Linked DNA regions of Ovis aries. The protein of the gene in region 2 purifies or fractionates together with the protein of the main gene of each other region. This does not show direct contact. Links are inferred from orthologs where the notes say so. Each region holds a gene or a part of one and is shown on either strand. Other genes may lie near its edges.

Region 1 (3,500 bases), on a different chromosome or scaffold from region 2:
AAGAGTATGTGAAAAATCAAAGCCTACATATTTTTACTGCTGATTGAGTTCTCAGCCAAAGCCTAATGCTTCTTCATTTTTATTTGCAGAAAAGAAAGGAACCCGTTTTTCACTATTTTTGTGATACCTGTGATCGTGGTTTTAAAAATCAAGAAAAGTATGATAAACACATGTCCGAACATACGAAAGTAGGTTTCTTGGTTATCCTGATTTTATTTAGCAAAATGGGTGTATTTGGTAGAAATTCTGAGCTTTCTTCCTGTAAAAGTGTAGAGTTATCATAGGAATGTTGTTTGAAGACAAGTTGAGACAGTAACCCTGGGATTTGCAGTTTGAGGATGGGGAGCTTCCACTTCAGGAGTCGGTGAGATGGCAGCAGAGGAGAAGGGAGGGCTGGCAGCTGTTGAGAAGTAAAAAAAGCTAGGAAGTTCTTAGTTAGGTAAGTGCTCTTCAGTTTGTAGGAGTCATGCTTGACTTTAGGAAATAAGAGCATTTTACAACATTGCTGATGTCCTGCGTTCACTCAAATGGAGAAGTGAATGCTATGTATTATTGTACTATATACCTTTAGAGGGCAACTTGGTTTTGGAGTGAGTTTTGTCTTGCTATTGACTGAACTGAACTGAACTGATTGTTGTAAGTATTCACAGATAATACCACATAGACAGGATACTAGGTAATAATGCCAGAATATGTCTGTATGTATAGTAGAAGGGTATGTTTTTTATGGGAAATGTTGAATTGAATCTTTTTTTTTTCCTTAAAAAAAAACAAAAACAAAACTATGTGCAGTGCCCTGAGGTAGATTGCTCTTTTAGTGCACATGAGAAGATTGTCCAGTTCCATTGGAGGAATGTAAGTTGTTTTTTTTTTTTTTTGATACACGCTCTTTTTATTTCATTGATCTGTTATCTTCATAGCACTTTATCTACATAGCCTAATAATAAGCAACATTCATGAGCCTTTGTACTTGATAAGGCATTTTTGTAATCCATTATTCAGTGTCATGATCCACTGTGGACTAGATAAATCTTGGCCCTGTTTAAAAGATTTATAAAATGATTTGCCCAGGGCCTCAGAACTCATTCTTGCACTTGGGTTTCTTAGCTGCAAATTCTGTGCTTGTTTTACTAAACTGTGCTGTTTCAGATTGTTTTGTGTACTCATCATTTCTCTAGCTAACTCCCTCAACTATAGTCGGTCAGTCATATGAGTATCTAATATTACTCAAGAAATTGATGACATTTGCTTTACAACCAAGATTATATCATGGCTTGCTTTTCTTTTTAATCAATAGCACTAAAGACATGAAAAAAATTACTCTCTTTTCTTTAAAGGAAAAGTCATAATAAGGATAGAGAAAATCTGCTTGCTTAGTTTAAAAATTCTCTGCTAGTAAATGTACTGTTGGGTACAGCGTTTTCATTATCTCCTATAATTCTTGAGATTTAGTCAAAAACATACAGTATGCTTCCTGATATTCAGCAGGCCTTTTCCCCTTAGATGCATGCTCCTGGTATGAAGAAAATCAAGTTAGACACTCCAGAGGAGATTGCAAGATGGAGGGAAGAAAGAAGAAAGTGAGTAAAGAGTTCAGAACTTGTGCAGCAACTTTGTTTTACCCTGGCAGGGCTGAGTACTTCAAAATAAAGACCATCTGGCCCTAAGGAACAATTTGAAAAAGGAAATTTGGTCTTTTATAACATTGTAGATGTTCAGCTCAAAATGCAATGGCACCCCACTCTAGTACTCTTGCCTGGAAAATCCCATGGATGGAGGAGCTTGGTGGGCTGCAGTCCATGGGGTCGCTGAGGTTTGGACACGACTCAGTGACTTCACTTTCACTTTTCACTTTCATGCATTGGAGAAGGAAATGGCAACCCACTCCAGTGTTCTTGCCTGGAGAATCCCAGGGATGGCGGAGCCTGGTGGGCTGCCGTCTATGGGGTCGCACAGAGTCGGACACGACTGAAGTGACTTAGCAGCAGCAGCAGCTCAAAATGGCCAGTCCTAACTTTTGTTGTTATTCTTCAGAATTGGCTTACAGTGACTTTGAGAGTATTGTTACTTGATGTATGATAATCACACAATTTTTATTGTAGTTTTGATTCATTGCATTCCCTTATAATCTTGCTGCTAGGAAATGGGACTGTCAACTGTATCATATGAGGCTATTATGAAATGTAGCTTTTGGTAGACCTAATAGAAACTCTTGATAAATAACTGATGTCATAATGGGACTTTGCTCTTTGAGGGGAGTCACTATGTGCCCCCTCAGTTTGATGTTCAATACAAGGGAGTGATGGGTGGTGCTATTTAAAAAAAAAAAAAAGGCGTAATATTTTGCTATGTTTATTGTTTTGATTATTGTTTAAAAAGTTGTTGAATGCTTGCAGTATGCTAGGCAGAGGGAGTATAGTGACAGAATAATACAAATGCCTGTCCTCATTTATAAAAAGACAGGGGACTTCCCTGGCAGTCCAGTAGTTAAGATTCCACGATCCCAATGCAGGCGTCATGGGTTCGATCCTGTTTGGGGAACTAAGATCCGGCATGCCACGTGGCATGGCCTTAAAAAAAAAAAAAAAAAGCAAAGACAAGAAATATTTTCCTGTAATTAAAGTCTTAAGAAATTTGAGCCTTACCATGATGACCTATAGTTTTATGCTTACCAGGGAGGAAAGCTTAGTAGGAATCTAATCAGAAATGGCAACCCACTCCAGTATTCTTGCCTGGAGAATCCCATGGACAGAGGAGACGGGCTGGCTACGGTTCATGGGGTCGCAAAGGGTTGGACATGACTGAAGCAACTTAACCACCATCTCCATCCGGAATCTACCAGTGAAAAATCCCATGAAGATGCTATTATATTGTCTTCTCAGGAAGGACCAGGATACCTCATCCTGAAGCACAAGACCAAATCAGAACTATTAGGGGGTGATCAGCTGTACTTTTAGGTCAATAGCTGTTTTTCTGAAATTAAAAAATGAGAGCTTGAGATAGAAGGTTGTTCTTTACTGCTGTTTAGTTGCTAAGTCGTGTCCACCTCTTTTGTGACCCCATGGACTGTAGCCTGCCAGGCTCCTCTGTCCATGGGATTCTCCAGGCAAGAATACTGGAGTGGGTTGCCATTTCCTTCTCCAGGGATCTTCCCGACCCAGGGCTTGAACCTGCGTCTGCTGCATCCCCTGCACTCTTTACCGCCGAGCCACCAGGGAACCCCTAGTTAGGAAGAGTTATCCTCAAAGGTCAAGATGCTTAAAACCTTGACCAGCTGATACAGCTTGCTCTTAGTTCAGCTTAAAGTTTTCAACTTTAATCCACTGTGCGTATGCCTATGTAGTGCTATGTCAGATGTTACACTGTTATGTGAAAAAGTGAGTTACTGCCCTTCAAAGCTTTACAGGTAATTCTGAGGAAAACCAGCAAAAAGATTTAGGACCAACTGAGAACAAATAGCTTTCAGTAAACGCATGTATGCTGCTGCTGCTACTGCTAAG
Region 2 (3,500 bases):
ATTCTCAATCAATAGTATATACCTGCACAATCAAGATATAGTGGATTTCATTCCCAATTACCACAATAAAGCAAGTGTTGCAATAAACTAAGTATACGAATTCTTGTTTCCCAGTGCTTATTGAAGTTATATTCTTTTTTTTTTTTTTAAGTTATATTCTTATGGGTAATCTACTTAGTATGAAATAGCATTGTCTGGAAAAACAATGTACATACCTCAATTTATAAATGCTTTACTTTTAAAAACATGTTAAACATCATCTGAACCTTCAGGAAGTTGTAGTAGTAACATCAAAGATCACTGACCAAAGACCAACATTACAAATATAAGAATGGAAAAGTTAGAAATATTGTGGGAATCACCAAAATGCGACAGACTGTGGTGTTGGAAAAATGATGTCAATGGACTTGTTCTACACAGGGCTGACACAAACTATGAATTTAAAAAACGAAGTATCTGTGAAGCACAGTAAAATGAGGTAAACCTGATTTCATCCTCCTGTATTCATCCAATTACTCTAATTAACCAAAACAAACTTCTGACAATGGACCACCAGTGTCTCAGAAGAGGTAGTGACTAAAGATGCCTTCACTATCCGAAAGGAAATCAGGCATACAAATAAAAATCATCATTGAACACTTGGTCCTTAGTCCTCGCACATAAACATTCACTTCTTTTTATTACCCAGATTTATCTTTAAACTCCAGTTTAAAAGAAAATAAGATCCTACCTAGAAAACAACTCTCAATACCCATGTTTACAAATTATATTAAAATCATCACCTGCATGAGCAATAAGTCGTGCTCCAACTAATTCCCCAACCATGACTGTAACATTGGGTGCAATGGCCATCATTCGATTTTGCAGATATTCATAAAGCTGGGTTCTATATTCAGAGATTTCAATCACCTAGTTTAAGAAACAAAATGAGTAAATCATAAATAGTTTAAGAGTAAAAGCAGTGTAAAATTCACATGTCTAAAACATCAGAGCCCCAAATTATCACAGAGCAGTTAGTTGTACAATCCCAGGAAAATTAGCCATCCTTTACCTCAGTTTTCTATAAAACGGCTGTTGTGAAATTTTAATATTTAAAAATTAAGCAATATATGTAAACCTAATACACTGCTTAAAAATGTTAATCAACATTTGTTTAAAAAAACTCTAAAGACTAGACATTTGTGTCATCCTCTGTGATTGTCATATAGCTATCTTCAAATGAGGGGTAAAAATTACAGGCTATACACATTCAGATACTGCTAACAATAGAAATTAACTAGACAGTACTCCTTTAACCTCATTTTAAGATATTTTTCTCCCTGCAAGTTTGTAAGTCAAGACGGCATCAGATGAGGTAGTGACTGAACACCCTCATATTTATCAGGTGAACAATACATTTAAAAATCATCACTGCCATCAGAAATTACAGAGCTGGTACCACCACCACGAATTTCCCTATGTGCATAGTGTACCTGAGTGCAAAGGTGCAGAATGTTGCAAATATCTTCTTCCGAAACTTCGGTTCCCATAGATATCTCTGCTGCCGCTTTCACTTCAGCTTCAACCTCCTCTGGCAGTAATTCAGAAAGTTGAGCTGAGGCATAATTCTTCCTGTCGCCTATGGAATGTTTGCAAAGGATGAGGGAGAATCACTCTTCAGTAAATTATATAAAATCCACCAAACAGTCAAAAGAAAAAGTAGAGATAAGCCAATGAAAGGGATGCCTGAACAAAACAAAAAGTAAACAAGTTTGACCAAGTAACTTTACTCATGTAAGGGCTTGATTTTAGAGATTAACTCATTTTATGAACAGTCCTCAGGTTCCTCTACTATATTATTATTATAGTAATAGTATACAATTTAATATTGAGTATAGATAGCAATACTATTTTTAATATTAACCACTATTAATGTATTTCAGGATACTTCCCAGTCACACAGTTGTCCTTATTAACGGCAACTTCAGTGAGACACAATCATTGTAAGAAGCCAGTTCAGGGGAGTGGGGAGCAGATAAATTGGGACCAACATATACACACTATGATATATAAAACAGATTACTAGTAAGAACCTGCTACATAGGACAGAAAACTACTCAATACTCTGGAATGACCTACATGGAAAAAGTCTAAAGAGTGGAGATGTATACACAACTGATTCACTGTGCTGTACAGAAAAAAGTAACACAATGAGTGTGTGTGCTTAGTCACATCCTTTGTGACCCTATGGACTATAGCCTGCCAGGCTCCTCTGTCCATGGAATTTCCAAGGCAAGAATACTAGATTGGGTTGCCATTTCCTCCTCCAGGGTATCTTCCTTGCCCAGGGATTCAAACCAGGTCTCCTGTGTTTCTTGCACTGGCAGACAGATTCTTCACCACTAAGCCACCTATACTCCAAATTTTTTTTAAAAAAAGAAGCCCAAGGAAAACCAAATTAGAGAACGATGTCCTCTACTGTACAGGCCACTGAAATAAAATTCTGTTTCTGAAATCTAGCAGATGTTAATATGGATATACTCCTCAAACACACAAGACTAAAAACTCTGGGAAGAGAATAAAAAAACCAGTAACTCATGTTTTAGGATTTAAATAAATCACTATTTTCAATACCTTAAAGGATAAAGTTACTCACCAACTTTCTGTAAACACTTGCAGTATGTCAAATTATCCGAAATAATTTTTCCTAACTCAGGGAAATGCCAGCCATACCATTCTCTACACCGCATAATGTAGTTGTTTAGTTCTTTATCTAAGTCATCTAACAGGGCTGCAGCAGATTAAAACAAAAAAGAAAACAAGAACTTAAAAGGGTTTTAAAAAACACTTGTGATGAAATAGTCCATCATCCCAAACAGAAACTCTGTACCCATGAAATAATTACTCCTCATTCTCACCACTCCAGCCTCTCTTTTATCCCCTCTATGAATTTGCCTATTCTAAGTACCTCATAAGGGGAATCACACTGTATTTGTCTTCTTGAAAGTAGTCTATTTCACCATAGCACAGTGTTTTCAAAATTCATCTATGTTGTACCATATATTAGAACTTGTAAGGATAAATAATATTCCATTGTATACCACTTTGTTTATCCCTTCATCTGTTAATAGGTATCTGGATTGTTTCTGCCCTTTAGCTGAATCATGATGCTATGAACATAGCTGCTTAAGTAACTGACTAACTCCTTTCAGTTTGGGGGGGCATACACACCTAGAAATACAATTGCTATTTAAAGAAATGTTTAAAACTGGAAACTGTTGAGACTTTGATGTCCAAAAATCACCGAATGATTTATTACATACATAAAGCAAAAAAAACCCCACACCCGTATCTTAAGGTTTTATCATTTTTCATGGAAAAAGATCAATCAGCTTACATTAATAGTGTAGCGTAATTCCTATTATCCCCAAGTAGTCAAATTATAATTAGTTTTCCAATTTTTGATTCTGCATTTCCCAATTTACTTACTAAACTTCTAGCTGGTCTTTTTCTTCCTCAAC

What was found.
Region 1: the proteins of NOP58 (region 2) and NUFIP1 purify together in Homo sapiens (co-immunoprecipitation; 3 studies listed by BioGRID and IntAct, with this or other methods). This does not show direct contact. The link is inferred for Ovis aries from reciprocal best matches to the Homo sapiens genes NOP58 and NUFIP1.

The regions. Positions count from the first base shown.
Region 1 is NC_056063.1:15,532,322-15,535,821, reverse strand, and holds part of NUFIP1 (FMR1-interacting protein NUFIP1), read left to right. Parts: intron 1-89; coding exon 90-188; intron 189-792; coding exon 793-855; intron 856-1,503; coding exon 1,504-1,580; intron 1,581-3,500. UniProt on the Homo sapiens protein: Binds RNA.
Region 2 is NC_056055.1:204,588,152-204,591,651, reverse strand, and holds part of NOP58 (nucleolar protein 58), read right to left. Parts: intron 2,771-3,500; coding exon 2,636-2,770; intron 1,619-2,635; coding exon 1,473-1,618; intron 1,420-1,472; exon of another isoform or gene 1,338-1,419; intron 910-1,337; coding exon 783-909; intron 640-782; exon of another isoform or gene 556-639; intron 1-555. UniProt on the Homo sapiens protein: Required for the biogenesis of box C/D snoRNAs such as U3, U8 and U14 snoRNAs. Part of the small subunit (SSU) processome, first precursor of the small eukaryotic ribosomal subunit.